Linked DNA regions of Schizosaccharomyces pombe. The protein of the gene in region 1 binds, or shares a complex with, the protein of each later gene. Each region holds a gene or a part of one and is shown in the gene's direction. Other genes may lie near its edges.

Region 1 (6,272 bases):
TATGAACCGTAAAAAACCTTTCCTTTTTCAGAGACCTGGGTACAGAAACTTGATCACGGTTTATTATAGATAAGGGCCACTGTAAAAACATAATTCAAAAAAATATAAATCAATGTTATCTAAAAAAGCAGAGAAATAAGAAATTTCACTAATCAACAGTAAACGTGTGGGAAAGGTTGAATGTTGTAAGACTAGCGTCACATCCCTCCAAATTATAAATCAGAACAAAATTTATACTGACGCTCACGAAATACAAATTACTGAAGATTCATAAACAGACGATATTTTCCTTGATTTTTGTTTCAAGTTGGTTTTCCCCATTTTGAAACTATTTGGTATACCAATTGCACCAGAACTGAAAGTATAGTAGACATTTACTTTTCGTGAGAATTAGAGAATTTCTTAAAATTATTTTTCTTCTCGATTTGACTGTCATTTCACAATGCCTATTGTGAACGGTTTTAAAGTAGGACCTATTGGCTTAGGCCTTATGGGTTTAACTTGGAGACCCAAGCAAACTCCCATTAAACAAGCCTTTGAGTTAATGAATTACGCCTTGTCCCAAGGTTCGAACTATTGGAATGCTGGAGAATTCTATGGCATCAATCCTCCTACTGCCAATTTAGATTTGTTGGCTGATTATTTTGAAAAGTATCCAAAAAATGCCGATAAAGTATTTTTATCAGTTAAGGGAGGAACAGATTTTAAAACACTCGCTCCCCATGGAGATCCTGAATCAGTGACTAAGAGTGTAAAAAATGCACTTACTCGTTTACGTGGAAAGAAAAAGCTAGATCTCTTCCAATGTGCCCGAGTTGATCACAAAGTTCCAATTGAAACTACCATGAAAGCATTGAAGGCTTTTGTAGACTCAGGAGAAATTTCATGTGTCGGTCTTAGCGAGGCTTCTGCTGAAAGCATCAAACGCGCCCTTGCCATCGTGCCTATTGCGGCAGTCGAAACCGAATACTCTCTATTCTCACGAGATATCGAGAAAAATGGCATTCTCGATACTTGTACACAGCTCTCTATCCCAATAATCGCTTACGCGCCTTTCTGTCATGGACTTTTAACTGGGCGTGTCAAGACTGCTGAAGATCTTAAAGACTTTATCAAAGCATTTCCCTTCTTACGGAATATGGACAAGTTTAATCCAAAAGTTTTTGAAAAAAATATCCCGTTTCTTAAAGCAGTCGAGCAATTGGCTCAAAAGTTTGGTATGAGTATGCCTGAATTCGCTCTTAACTTCATTATTGCAAACGGAAAAGGCATGATCATTCCTATTCCTGGATCTACAACTGTTCAACGAGCTGAGAGCAATCTTAGTGCACTCAAGAAATCTTTGAGTTCAGAACAACTTGAAGAGGCTAAAAAAGTTTTGGATAAACATCAAATCTTTGGACTTCGTTACAACAAACAACTTGAATCCACCCTTTCCATCTGAGCATGATTTTAGCAACTTCACCGATTTGAGTTTTTTATTTAATATTTGCATTTAACCTTAACTCCTCTCTAGATTTAGATGTATACATGCTGTGTCATCCTATCGGCATCAATACAATAAAATATTTCTTTAAAAACTAAGACTGTAGTCTTTGAGTTTATTCACACCTTTATATATTATTCTCTATTGTCAGTGATTTATCTTACACTGTGTAAAAAATAGAAAGTAAGGTAGTGTAAGGAACAAGAAAACTTTCAATAAGCTTTGGGTATAATTGAATAATCAGAAACTTCCTTTACACAGAATAATCATGACTTTGGTGACACAATTTTTTAGAATGTCAACTGCTCTGCATAAAGTAATTTAGGAACGAAATTGTAGCCTTGATATAAATTCAACCCTAAAGTATTATGATGGTCTACGGTTATTTCGGTCTAGTCGACGATGCACAAAATGAGATGTCAATAAGCGCGATGCTTCAATCATTTTCTTGAAACTTATTTTAATCAATAGGAATTATCTACAGATAGGTTACGCTCGATTATTAATTGCGATAAGAATTTACATTGAATTGGTTGCCAAGGCTGGAGATTCATTTTTGAATTCAATACAACAATGAAAACCCAACGTATTATGGTGCTTCAAAAAGCGGTGTAGTAGAAAGTATTTTATTTAACTGCTAGTATCTTCTACGACTGACAATCGTTACTCATTTCTTAGGTGTTTTCAATCCTGCATCTAGGAAGACGATCATCATTCTTACTCTTATTGTTTCCGCCAATATGCTTTTGATATTTAGTTATCTAAATAGTAGGCTGCTTGTATCAGTATAACATGTAGCACCAAGGTATGCGTTACTAACAGTAGGATGGGTTTAGTGGTAGTTGTGCTAACTATAACCAAACTCACCACCAAAAAAAGCAATTTTTAACACAGTGCTATTCAGTACGATAAGATTGAACTGTTTATGGAATAAACACCTTGCAATTAAAGTATGGATTCTACGGCTGGCTCCGATGCTTCCACTCCTACAAATCACACGGTAAGCTCGAAGAAGCGAAGAGGACGCCCTCCTAAGGGTAGTTACGCCGCATATGGAAGTAGTGATGATGATGATGAAGAATACTCTGGGCGTACGCGTCGTAGAAATCGTAATACTCGCCCTAGAGTTTCAGCGCCGTCTTCTAGCTCAACAGTAGTACCGAAGGATTTGTACTCACATCGGGCTACTTTGGAAGATGATGAGCTAAACTTTGGTGTAGTAGATCCAGAAGGAGAGAAAAAAGTGAATGAATTGGGGTATTTGAATGGCGGTCGAGAGTATAGATGTCGAACGTTCACGTGCTTAGGTCGTGGTAATCGATTGTATATGCTTTCCACCGAACCAGCGAGAGCAATGGGCTATAGAGATTCGTATTTATTATTTTTGAAGCATCGTTCACTGCATAAAATTATTGTTGATGATTCTGAGAAATGGGACCTTATTGAACGAAATATTATTCCTCATTCTTACAAAGGCCGTGCGGTAGGTATTGTTGCTGCTCGTTCTATCTTTCGTGAATTTGGTGCTAGAATCATCGTTGGTGGTCGACGAATTGTAGACGATTACTGGGAAGGAGAATTCCGCGCTCGTGGTTTCGTCGAAGGAGAATTAGCTGATCCAGACGATAAATTGCCTCCTCCCGGTATGCCATACAATCGAAATCAATACGTCGCTTGGCATGGAGCTAGTGCAGTATATCACCCGCAGCCTTCACTAGAAGCTCAGCTGCCTGCAGCTGCTCGAAAAAGAAAAAAGGAACCTCCAAAAGATGCCACATGGCTTTTTCAACATGCTAAAGCAACTGCAGCTTACAATAATGATATTACAAAATACCTTGTTCAAAAACAGGATATCGGTTATTTTGAACCACATACTAACTTGTTGCATGTTCCCCTTAATACCCAACCTACAAAAACCCATTGGATTCAGGCAAAGACTGGTACGGAATGTCCTGCACCTAAATTGGATATTCTCGTTGCTCTTAACTCGGATGTGGCTCCACAGGTGTCTATTGCAAATATCCCTCCCTCCGTTTATGCGAGTTGTCCACTCCACGTTCAAGAGGCTATTCGCAAACGTCAAGAACAAGAGATTCGTAGTATTCGTTTGAATAGCATGTACTAGAGTGCTCGTTTTCTTTTAATCCTATTTTGTTTTGGATGTTTTATAATATTAATTTTCAGATTGTATACAGTCATTTATCACACGTACGACGTAAGCCCGAATTATCTTCTTACTCGAGTTATTTACGGAGAAAACATGCGTTAACGAAATCCAAAACTTGTTAATCAATTACTTTAGTACTTTGTTTTTGCTTAGTAAAGCGGAAAAAAAGATATTGTCTACAAAAATCAGATGTACATTCAACAAAACTATTAAAGAAATGATGGCGCGACGTTTCCATTGAATGAAACGTTTACCAACCGAAACCAATCGATTAGCTTGTATCCTCTCACTTGTCCTAATCGGTCCAGCCGAGGGCGAAGAATATTATGGAGGATTGTTTGATGAATTATTGGGCATGGTCAGGTCGTAGGTTAAAAACTTTAGGTAAGTCAAAACGTGGCTTTGGCGAAGGAGTATTTGTGAGAAGAACGATTGCTGTTATAATGAATATTAAATAAGCAAAACCGATCACCATCCACATTATAAAGAAAAAACCATTGAATCCCTTCAAATAATACACCAGGTCGACAATATAAGCAACCAAGTGGAGGACAAGGAAAACATACCCGAATTGTCGAAGAATGATAAACTTCTTCATCGTCGCCTGGGTGTACATTTTATATGTGAGCTCACCTCTTACTGCTATCCTGTCGTACCCTGCCATGATGATGAAACCGAGAGAAGTAGATATTCGTGTAACGTGCTTCAAAAAAAAAGAGCGTTTTAAGCAGACGAGAACGGTAAATAAAAAAATGGCTCTTCACGACAAATAAAAAAAAAAGAATGGACTAATTTTCAAGTCCAAGGTGTGTCGCAAAATGTATCTCATCAATATTAAATAGTGAGATCATTCGACGTAATAAATCTTCTATGGACTGAAAGCTATGATTTTTTTGGCATTTTACATTCATCCATTTCCTTGTGTCCTAAGATTTTTTGTTTACTTAGTCTGTTTTGATTACGAAGCAATGAGTGCAAGAGGATCCATTTAACTGCAAGAATTTCGATCACAACTTCCAAACGTCGAGTGCAGAGAATGGATTGACAAACAAAGTTATTATTCTATAAAAGACCAAACTGATAATTTTACTGTTTTTATCTCTTTTCATTGCGGATACAATGTGCTTTACCGCTTTATCATTTTTATAGTAACTATTGAATCATCGAATCTGGAAAATGGTACAGATTTATCACTCGTTGCTGTTGCCGATTTCATCTTTAACACTATCAATATTGTATCTATTATTGCCATGATTTTTTATACTCTTAAAAAGTTCGATATTGAAATCACTAGAGAAGTAATGGATTATTTTACAAGATATTTTGACGGACAGAAATTGAAGAAAAATAACGTATAAATTCAATCATTTAGTCACCTTATTCAATGTTTTTCTAAGAAACAACGCTTCAGCATACTAGCTTTAATGGAAAAATTAACGAAATTCAAGTTTCCATAGAATGGGTGGTGAAGTATGAGAACACATAAGCTGTTAAACTTACAAAATTAGCTTTTAGGAAATTACCAAAGAAAAAAAATCTCAGAAGGAAGAAGCTCAATGTGAATTGCTAATCACCGCAATAAAACTTATTTGGCATTCATTCCGTGACGTTGATCAGGTTCAGTCATAAAGACTGGAGTGTATTTATAGAGGATCATTAGATATATTTTCATCATCGGTCTGACTCTTTGGCTCAAGGCATTGCTTATGAGGAATTTGGTTGACTAGAAAACCTAAGGAGCTGCCAATAATTGATTTGAGGATTATGTTATTAATTTTACATTTTTGGGACCTTCAAATTTTTAAAGTGCATTCATCTTGCTCATATTTTGTATAAAGTTAACAGTGGACCAAGGTTGGAGCACGCCGTCTGCCGGAACTGACATAATACTGAACAGCATAAACTTCATAGTTGTTTGTGTCGTGTTTATTTTTGGTACTTATAAACTCAATATTCTTTGCAAAAAACATGAGCTAGATGAATATTGAGAGATTTCTGAAAAAGCCGTAGTATGAAGAATGAATTTTTATATACAATTTTGAGTCTACAAATAAAATGTACACGTATCCCGCCTAATACCATTTTTGTAAAGTGACTTGTATAGTATTGTTGAGAACAACAAAAATGGAAATGCCCGCTCAATTTCTTTTAACTTTGTGCAAAAGAATAAATAGTGTCCAGTAGCTTACAATTGCAATAAAGAAGAATTTAACTTTTATAACTTGAGATGAAACAAAAATAGATAATTAAATAAGCAATAATAATAAAAAAGAAACGAGAATCTCGAATTTTCAAAGTTTTAACTACCATACTCATTTCGTCTCGACAAGCTGTTTTGTGTTGATAATTTAAATTGTTTAATTATGAGAAATTAAAAGTCTAAGCACTGTAAGTTGACTGAAGTAAAAAGAGTTACTTTCGAAAACGACTCTATTCAAAATCCCTACATCGTATTCATTCAATAACGACTACCGCTGTAAAACCCAAATAATCATTCATTACTTTAATTAACAATCATCATACAAAACAGATTTTTTATAAAGAATTTTAAAAGGATTAAAAATGCATTATATTATTGCTAGTTGTTAAAAGAATTAAACAGAAAAACTTAAACATCCC
Region 2 (4,796 bases), on another chromosome or scaffold:
TTTCTGCCATGGCGGAAGCTCATTGCAGTGAAATGTCATCTCGTCGTAACGCCATGGAAAATGCAAGCAAGAGTGCTGGAGATATGATTAACAAGTTTTCCATCCAATATAATCGTCAACGTCAAGCCTCCATTACTAACGAACTTATCGATATCGTTACTGGTGCAAACTCTTTGGCTTAATTCTTGATCTCTTTGGTAAGGTTCAAATGCATGTTAAGATTTTTAAATTAAAGAAGTTTGTGAAATATAAGCGCTGAAGTCAACGATATTTCTTGTCTATTTAGCTTAACTTTTTACCTTTATACCATTTGAACCGTAATTCATTGAAAACGTTCAGATTAAGCTTACCTTTTGTTCTTAATAAATTTACGTCCATCTTTTTATCGTAAGTATTTTTCATGTAGAGAATGTTGAAGAGGTTTTTGTAAAGCATGTAAGTGTGCGCAACTTAACTGAGTAGCCATTTGTGATAGCTAATATGGGCTGATCAAGCAAATTTGTTAAGATGACAGAGGAGTCCTAGTATTGTATTGTTTTAGAACTAAATTGAGTAATACATGTGGAAATTAAAGAATGGAAGCACCTGACGCAATAGATTAACAGTTGGAAATATGAGTCACAATTACTACAGATGTATCTCCATGTTTTTCTTAATAAAACACTTGGCATTGCAAAAATGTATTGATTATCTTCGCTGATTGTAAACAAATGGAGTCATGAGACATTTTTTACGTTGTTATTATAAGTATATGAAGATTTTAAACAAGCTAATCACAGCTAGTTTGAACAAAGGTAATGTTAAACTACATAACTACGGAATTTATAAATAAAAGTAAGTTTTTTTCGGAAATTTTTGTTAAGTACTATAAGTGAGTTTCTTACTAAAATTTTGTAAAGTTTGACAACATTTTTGAATAAAAGGCAACTGAATCAGTGGCATGAAACGCAAAATGTTCTAGCCTAATATACAAAATATCACTTAATGATAACGTACGTTTTCACATTTTTTAGAGAAAAATGTGCATTGTAAAGTCTGACTTAACCGATAGGGATTCATCAATTGCAAACATCTAGGAATCAATCGTCTTTGAGACGGAATGGTTTGAAGGTGAGCAGGAACCAGTAGGAGTGCTTTAAACTTCTAAAGGAGGAATGTAAAAAACTAGTTTGTGGTTGATCAAACTCTATGCTAACGTGAATGAAAAGACAGAGATTCTATATTAAACGATAAACGATAAAAAATAAAGATAAAAGAAAATAGAAAGATGATTTTGAAAGAAAATAAAAAGAACCAGTAAAGTATATCTACAGTGAAAAAAAAGTAGGAATTGCCCAAATATGTTGTTAGTCTGTAGCAAACATAAATGGCGAAGATAATTCATTATCATTTTTAGCGACTCCCACATGAAACACTCAGTGAGCTTGATAAAAAAAAGCAGCGTATTGAATGCCTAAAAAGTCAATATGTTTCGCATCCATGAACTAATATTTTTTTGATAAAGTAAAACAGAAACGTTGGAGTTGACAAACTTAACCACCCCGTTGTTGACTAAATTTCATTTGATAATCTTTTTCACGCTTAAATAGCAGGATGTGTGGCTCTGGGACATGGACTTCATACATTTCCCATCCCAGACTCTAAATAAATGTCAGTTTGTTTTTGAGCAGTTAAAATCCTTGATTACTTACTTGAGTAATTCCAAGTCCTCTCCATTCTTCTTCTTGAAGGATTCGAAGCGTTCCAGTCTCTGGATTGAAATAATCGGTGGGTATCGCTTTTAGCATTGCTTTTGGTAACATAACATGTCGATATTCATATTCATCATCAGCATATCTATTTCATCGATTAGCATTTGCTCAAATAAGATACAAGAGTCTCGTTTTAGGGGAAAACAAAGAACCTAGAGAATTCCCAAAGTATGGCAGTTTCTTTAACAATATCATCATACCTAGGAGAATAATGGATTTGATCAATGAATGGCTCTAGACGTTCACGCTCAGAAGCAGTTAAAAGACGTGGCACACCACTTTTCGACATATCTCCTCCTTAATACTCAAAAAGAATAACTTTTCTTTGAGATGGGTAAAGTATAGGATACTCTAGGACTTGGGTGATCCGTTAAAGGTCGCTAAATTTCGTTTTAGACTTAAAGTAACAGTACTCACTTTAGGTAACACACAACTTTGGGCTTCAACTCAACACTCTATACCTAAAACGAAAGTTATCGGTTGCAGAAAACAGGTTTTTTGCGCTAGCTATTTCTTTTTCAAAGCCTTTTTGGTCTATATAATAATTCCCAAAATTCAGTTTATAAAGTGAACGGTTTCTTATTGTAATTCGAAAAATTGTGTATTATTTTGGAATATACAGTCGCAAGCGGACCTAATTAAAGTTGATATACTCTATTCATTGTACATAAACGTTGCAATATAATAAATTATTTAAAATGGTATATTCTCATGTCCCGTGTTTTGTTACAACATACTAATATTTATAGGTTGATGATAGTCATAATGCCCCATTCGATAAGACCAAGTTTGATGAAGTTTTAGAAGCATTGGTGGGTTTAAAGGACAACGAGTATGTATTGAAAGGAGTTAGGTGTCGCATGTCCATTTACTAATAATTTATTTAAAATAGAGGTAATCCATTTGATGACATTTTTGAAGAACTTCCTTCCAAACGATATTTTCCAGATTACTATCAAATCATTCAAAAGCCGATTTGCTACAAGATGATGCGCAACAAGGCGAAGACTGGTAAATATCTGTCAATGGGTGACTTTTACGATGATATTCGGCTTATGGTTAGCAATGCGCAGACTTACAATATGCCTGGAAGCCTCGTCTATGAATGTTCTGTGCTTATTGCAAATACTGCTAATTCATTAGAAAGCAAGGATGGAACTTTGAATGAGGAAGAGAATGAGGAAATGGAGTCAAGCATCAACGAGGAACACAAACCTGGCACTAATGAGATTGATGTTCCAAAGGTTATTCAAAATATCTTAGATGCCTTACATGAAGAAAAGGATGAACAAGGTCGTTTTTTAATTGATATATTTATAGACCTTCCTAGCAAACGTTTGTACCCGGATTACTATGAAATTATCAAATCCCCTATGACTATAAAAATGTTGGAAAAAAGGTTTAAAAAGGGAGAGTATACGACTTTGGAAAGCTTTGTAAAAGACTTAAATCAAATGTTTATTAACGCCAAAACGTATAACGCCCCCGGAAGTTTTGTCTATGAAGATGCTGAAAAGCTTTCTCAACTTTCATCTTCCCTTATTTCTTCATTTTCCGAACAACCTAAGGAACACTCTCCTGCAACTTCAAAGCATGAACCCGAGGAAACCCCCGCATCTCCAACTCCTTCTGTATCTGCTTCAACTTCACGCGAACGTTCTACTTCAGTCGCCCCATCTTTTATAACCAGTGATCAGGCAGCCACTCCAGATGTTTTGAAGTCAGAGGAGGCTCATGTTGAAAGTTTCTCAAAAGAATCTGAAAAGGACCAAACTCCCATACCCGAAGATGTTCCATCACCCATGGATACATTATCTCAAGCTAATTACGGAGCATTTGCCCTTATTAAATCGTTTCCTTCAACTCCTGTTCCGGATTTTTTAAATTTCTCTCATAAATCGGTGATGGGTCGTAGTACTTTTAATATGCCAAATTTTCCAGAACCCAAATTTTTTGAAGACATACCTAATACTGAACGTTGCATTCTTTCTGCATTTATTTGCAGTCCTCCACAATTACCATTGCCGAATCCCCTTCGTATGTATTTGCCTTGCCCAAGCTTAAATTCTACGGAAGTTTCAGTGATTACCTTGGCCCCTCAGCATTCGTTTCTTAATATTGTTATTAACTTAAATCCTGCTCTGGCATTGAAATCATACACCATAATCACATTATTAAATGGAAAGCGTCTAGGTGCTGGCGTGTCTACTCCACCATCTACGCTGTATGCTCTTGAAGGCATAAAGCATACTGAGGAGCCGATCAGAACAGTTTACGAGGCTAAACTTTCTGTTGGTCTAAACTGCCTAGAATTTGTACTGGGTAGCACTGAACCTGTGGAACCACCTTCAATAGAACCTGGTTTACCTGCGTCGGCATATTCTCGGACTGTCGAAAGGGAACGATTTGTGTTGATGGCTTACGTCCAACCATAAGCTACACTTTTTGGATAGAGACAAAATGTATTAATACAAGGAATTAAAATAAATGGTATCATTCGTTTGAAATATGTACAGATTTATTTAATCGTAGTATGATATTAAAGTCACAATTTAACAAAATTAACTTGCTTTCAAAAAGCAAAAGGTATTTCAGGCATTTTTAAAACTTACATAGCTTCAATACATTGATCCAAAGTGGTCTCAGAAAAAAATTTGATGTCTGTATTTGCTTTGGATTTTCTCCAGCCTTCATCGCTTTCAAGCCACCTCCTCCAATTTGTAGTCCTATTTTGTTTCTTGCTTTGAGAGCTTTGATCAACCCAAAGATTGTATGAGTTTATGTAAACGTTTTCGGTATTGGGCTCAAAAAATATGACATAGGTGTCGGTTGAAAAAAACAATTGAAGGTTCGATTTGCAGAAATGTTCATTAAACAAAGAATGCAACCTACCAGAGCCTCGACCTGCGAGATAGCCTTGTTGCGATATTCGTTGAAGTGATCTTCGCAAAAATGGCATTTTAACTTGCATCAAATCGACACCTTCAGTGATATGAGAAATGGCATAGCTATCAACATAGTACATAAATGCCTTCGCAGGATTTT
Region 3 (5,455 bases), on another chromosome or scaffold:
TTCCAATGGCCAATTGTAGAGTTTCTCGTTGTGCTTCAATTCTATCAAGAACTCTGCTTACAATTTCTTCAGCAAAAGGCAACAAATCCGGAGCCATTCGCTCATTCACCCATTGAGTACATAAATCCTCATAATCATTCTCCACTTCTGTTGTCGGTTCTATTAGCAAATCATCAGCATCCCACTCCATCCATAAAAAATATACAAGGATGCTCAAATCACGAAGGCAAATGAGACCTTGTTGTAAAGCTACAAGCTTTTACTCAAGATATGTTAGTAGTTTACATAGCACTTAAATCAGTCCAATTGCAGAGGTAACAAGTTACTTACGTCCCTTTTCAAACAAAAATCCCAAAAGCATATCTTGCTCTTAAACGACTTTGACATAATCTTCGTTTTATCCTATGCATTCCATTCACTTGTCTTAGTTATCGTACACTTCAGTAACATCTTATATTATTGCCCGTGAATCAAAAAATCGAAGGCTATAATCTTATAGCGAAGAATTGCATAAAGGCGCGATTTATCACTTATACTTTAGAAATTCAGTAAACGAAAATTAGTATTAAAATGTTGGATCAATAAATACAATGGAAAAAGATCTGTGCTCTGAAAGTATTTTAGAGACTGGCGTCGTTTAAGCTCTACAATATACAGCAAACATACAATATTGCCAAGTATGAACAAGTTATTGTCTACACTGCGTGCTCTGTAAGCAATATTAAGTATTTGTACGAAATTGCCAATATATATACACTAATAAAAAGAAACCACTCTAGTATTCCATTTCAATCAATCGCAAGTACGATTCTCTAAGAGAATCACGTAATTAACAACTTTCAGAGATCTATTGTATTTTTCGATTTAAAACGCTTATTCGATCTATCACCTGCTCTCAATAGTAAATGTTGAGTATACAATTCAAAAACAAGTTTCCTTTGGGGAACATCAACGATAACTTTCATAACAGAATCTTGTTTGGGAACACCTAGACGAATTAGTAAAAAGTTACTCAGCAAAGATATTTTTCAAAATACAATGTTTTGAAAATGGTACTTACGAACAACCCTGTTTTCTTTAGTAATTAAAGAGAGCATATGTTTACTTTCGTGGATACAAATACCTTCAAGTCCGACTCGCGTAGTACTTTTACTCCGAAGAACTTGCATATATGCACCTTGATATTCTGCTTTTGCTAATTTGGCCATTAAAGATTCACCTGTGCATCCTGCTATCACTTCTAATATGTAAGAGCACCACATGGAATGTAAATGTTTGAATTGGCTATAGTCAGCAATCTTTGGAACAACATTTAATTGCAGCTTTTTTTTCTCCTTTGAAGACAACTTTTTCCTTTTCTTTGAAGCAACCGACTCTTTTCGATCTCCTTGTTTTTCTAAGTTTAGAGAAGGGACAAGTAAAAGCGGTTTGAAAGCAATTTTTTCGTTTATAACATTTTTTGCCTCTTCAGGTGTTAGGATTTTTGTTTGAAATACCAGGGATTCGGGTGTCACTTTAGAAGTTGAATTGACAGTTTTCAACGAAGAGTATAGTGGATCAGCCATTCAGTACAAATGGATTGTCTTTTGAACGTAAAGGTAATAATAATTAAAGGAATAGCAAGTTATATCTGTTGTATTATTTTACGAAAATTGCTCCATTTGGCAAGTCTAGATATTTGGTGGTAAAGGTAATATGTGAGACTTTTTTTATACTTTTGTACAGCAAGATACTACTTCCAAAGTAATAATACAATTTGGCCCCCGTTTGAGAACTTTTACCCCACTAGAGACTAAAGATATATACCATCAAGGTCATATACACTTTGCAAAATTACAAAACATCGTTAGACTGCGATAAGCATTTTCTGTACTCAGTACATTCTCTTAAGTAGATGATATGAATAAACAAGTGTAGATTAGTCACAAAAACAAGTTTATTTAATAGACAGTTGAAAGATAAAACGGAAATAATGGATATGAAATTTTATTTAAAAATCAAAATTCAAAGAAAGCTTGTTGTATCGGTAGAACCAGTTACTCATACAAAGAAGAACATGGGGACATGTAATACATTTAATACAGCATAGTATAGTGAAATGTAGTGTTCGTTGTTGTAAATTGCCTACCCCATGTATTCATTTCAACTGCCCAAGGTCTCCCCCACTTAGTATTTCGAAAAGTTGTGAAAGGTTTCGTTATACTACTTTTGACCACCTACTTACTTTACGACGCGCGCTTCATGTCACAAGTCATTCAGGGAGCAGTAGAAGAGCCGGTTTATAGTAATAAATCATTGACAAACGAAAATGACTCTTTCTTAAGCCTAATTGAGTCTTTCTCCCAAGAAAGAGGGTAGGTAATCCTTATTTTAATTCTCTATGTGTACCACTTCTAATCCTTTTTAGCGTTCCAATAGATATCAATCCTAAAATTGGGCGAAAACCTATTTTATTATATGAGCTTTATAAAAAGGTCATTAAACGCGGCGGTTATGATGCTGTCAGTGCGACTGAAGACGGTTGGACGAATATTGCAGAAGAATTCAATCAGTCCGACCCGGCTAGATCTGCTGGCATATTGCAAAATGTGTATTTCAAATATTTAATTTCATGGGAAATTCATGATCATTGGCACCTATTATTACCTCCTCCTTCTACGTTAGAACTAAGTGAAAACAGGCAGAACGTTCTTGAACGTGTAAAGGTTTTTAATTCTTGTTCTCCACCTAAGCCAACGAATCCAATTACCATTATAGACAATGATAAGACTCATTCTTTTAAAAAATTTTATAAAAGCCTTGTTAAGGAGGACGAAGAGAATGGTATTGAAAAAAAAATAAATGAAGCTATGAACTCTTCTGCTTCTCAACCTCTTCCAAATTCTACAAATTTTGCATCTACAACTTTTCCTTCAGTGCCCTTCCATCCCTTACCCGTGGATTCAGGTTTGCAAAAGTATATTGACCGTAATTCAAATTTGACACCTCCGGCTTTGGGTGCTGGCGTCCCTGGTCCTCCATTGCTAGTGCGTGTTGCGCTGGCCCTAAAGTCTCAGCAAGACAAAGAAGTTGACTGGGCTATTGGTCATCTTATCAAAATTTCCTTTGAAAGGCATCAGGAGTTTAAGTTGGAAAGATTACCGTCACTTGCAGAGTGTTTAGTTTACAGTCTAGGATTCCAAGTCACAAAAGCCAAGCAAGTTTCAGACCTAACAGACATTTCACTTTGTATGGATAGAGCAATCGGAATTGCTTTAGTCCTCCGTAATTCTGTCCTTAGTGTTGAAAATGCTAAGCATGTTGCCCAAACCAAACTTGTCATTTCAGTTTTAGAAGCTTCCATTCGATGTGCAAAAACGTTTAATAATTTGGAGTTTTTACACTATTGTTTGGATATTTCAGAAATGATTAGTTCATACCTTCATGTTGAGGACGAGAAAAATGTATTTTACTTGGCGCTTTGTGAGTTTCTTAATTCTTCAGATTATTCAATCTTAATTGCAACTCTTCGCACCCTTGCGCGCTTAGCTCTTAATGATCGTAACAATCGACTGCTACAAGATCTAAAATCTAATGTAATTGCAAACATAATTGCTCTAGTGGAAACGGACAATGAGGAAATTGTTGCCGCTGCTCTTGACTTTTTATATCAATATACTACCTACCGAACCAATACATCAAATCTACTTGCAAGTCAGGAAGCGTGGATGCTCGTTGATCAATTAATACGTTTAATGATGTATCAAGCCCAAGAAAGATTTATGACCGTGACAATTGAAAATAGTGAATCGAACCCTGCTGTAAAACATGAAGCCACATCTTCCATTTCTTTGCCTATGGAAGAGCTACAGCAATTGGTAGCTATGAGAGAACCTGAACGGTCTGTAAAATGGATGAGGTGTTGCTTTGAACCAAGTTCTGATGATTATGTTTTACAGACAGATATTTGGCAATTGTATTGCAGCGACATGGAACGTGCTCAGGGGCCCAATGTTATGGGTATAAGTCCTGCCGATTTTATTAAAGTATCAAGTCATGCCTTTTATAACGCCCGTGCGATGACTGTGTCGACCCCTCAATTGCCGGTTGAATACGTTATAAATGGTATCAAGCGTCGTAAATTTCCTACTTCTGTAAATGGAATGAGATATCAACCGTGTCGGTGGTGTTTAGATAGCGGGAAAGAGTGTGGGGAGCTCTTATTGGGAACTCCATTATTACATTCTCATTTACAGGAAATGCATATATTCCCACAAATATTGGAAACAGGGAAATGCAGGTGGAGCGATTGTAAATATGAAATCCAAAGGCTTACGCCTGCTTCAGAGCTGTCGCATTATCAGTTGTTGTCTCACATCGTTACGCACCTTCATGATGATTCACTAGAAACTTTGGTTGAGGGACGAAAACTATCTCCATCAAGAGAATTCCGTATCCCGTTATTACTAACAGCTGTCGATGATCAAGGCGATGCAACTGGAATTGCACTTACTGCTACTCTGGTCTTAAGAAATCTTGTACGCTCCAAACAAGGTAAGATGCTGTTTTCTGCAATTGAAAGTCGTGTTTTAGAGGTTAGTAGTTTAAATCCTGCTGTTGCACCCTATGTCAGTGAGATGCTTCTTGGTCAAATATAAATTTTGGATGGCTCGATAGTCATAACATGTCTTTTAAATCTCATTGCTAAGGTCAAGCATCTCGACATCACTTTTCATATCTCAGATTACTATGTACATATATGTCAACGACGTTTACTTGTTTTATGAAGGATGTGTGATTGGTCAATTTTCTTTTTTAAACTATTTAGTAAATGTTTTTTTCTTCTTTTGTCCAATCTAAAAGAAAAAAAGGAACCCAAGTTAATAAATGTACCACCCTAGTTAATTAAAATAATTAAAATAAAACAAACAAAAGCTAAACCTTTCAAAAAGATTGTATTATGAAGCATATTCAGCATGTTTGTAATCTATAAAAGATTCTAAATTTTCTAAAGCTTCTTCAGCACGGAACCGCAAATGCTTTTCTCGACGACGGTCAATTTTTTTCACCATATTTTTTAATCGCGGTAGGGCTTCTGAAAGTTGTGAAAGATATCCGGATCCCTTAAAAACAGGAGCATCATATGGATATGACTTATCGCCGTATACATCAAATATGGCATTCAATGCCTCCACTGCAAGTAGAGGATTTGGATCAGAAGCTATTACACATGACATTAAAGTCTGCCCAAGAAGTTGGTTTATTTGTATGTTGCCACAGCGTCCTAAACTTCCAAAGGCACCGAGCAACCTAGATTGTGCTTCCAACGAACCATGAGTCGAGCTGAATAAAATCAAGGTAGAAATATCATCTACTGAAAGAACTTGAATTTCAGCCGGAAAGGGCTTCGAGACAGACCAGAGTAGACTACAAGCCGTTGTGAAACCTTCTGAGCTAAAAGGCCAAACTCCTAAGC

What was found. Proteins that work in one complex are often made in the same cells at the same time.
Region 2: rsc7 (region 1) and rsc4 share a complex: the UniProt entries of both Schizosaccharomyces pombe proteins name them as parts of the RSC complex.
Region 3: rsc7 (region 1) and rsc9 share a complex: the UniProt entries of both Schizosaccharomyces pombe proteins name them as parts of the RSC complex.

Annotation. Positions count from the first base shown.
Region 1 is NC_003421.2:1,386,360-1,392,631, forward strand, and holds rsc7 (RSC complex subunit Rsc7), read left to right. Parts: upstream 1-2,345; 5' UTR 2,346-2,438; coding exon 2,439-3,611; 3' UTR 3,612-5,729; downstream 5,730-6,272. Other genes in the region: akr7 (pyridoxal reductase), read left to right, coding at 443-1,444. UniProt on the Schizosaccharomyces pombe protein: Component of the chromatin structure remodeling complex (RSC), which is involved in transcription regulation and nucleosome positioning. Controls particularly membrane and organelle development genes.
Region 2 is NC_003423.3:1,086,739-1,091,534, forward strand, and holds rsc4 (RSC complex bromodomain subunit Rsc4), read left to right. Parts: upstream 1-2,226; 5' UTR 2,227-2,449; coding exon 2,450-2,452; exon of another isoform or gene 2,453-2,500; coding exon 2,501-2,583; exon of another isoform or gene 2,584-2,643; coding exon 2,644-4,186; 3' UTR 4,187-4,296; downstream 4,297-4,796. Other genes in the region: F1-ATPase gamma subunit atp3, read left to right, coding at 1-182; cyclin-dependent protein kinase regulatory subunit Suc1, read right to left, coding at 1,533-1,640, 1,692-1,836, 1,952-2,040; SIN3 family co-repressor, Clr6 and Rpd3L histone deacetylase complex subunit Pst3, read right to left, coding at 4,360-4,796. UniProt on the Schizosaccharomyces pombe protein: Component of the chromatin structure remodeling complex (RSC), which is involved in transcription regulation and nucleosome positioning. Controls particularly membrane and organelle development genes.
Region 3 is NC_003423.3:2,914,031-2,919,485, forward strand, and holds rsc9 (RSC complex subunit Rsc9), read left to right. Parts: upstream 1-2,227; 5' UTR 2,228-2,241; coding exon 2,242-2,354; exon of another isoform or gene 2,355-2,407; coding exon 2,408-4,637; 3' UTR 4,638-4,937; downstream 4,938-5,455. Other genes in the region: GINS complex subunit Sld5, read right to left, coding at 1-190; pop4 (Rnase P/MRP subunit), read right to left, coding at 840-988, 1,061-1,565; syo2 (ARM-like repeat-containing protein), read right to left, coding at 4,938-5,455. UniProt on the Schizosaccharomyces pombe protein: Component of the chromatin structure remodeling complex (RSC), which is involved in transcription regulation and nucleosome positioning. Controls particularly membrane and organelle development genes.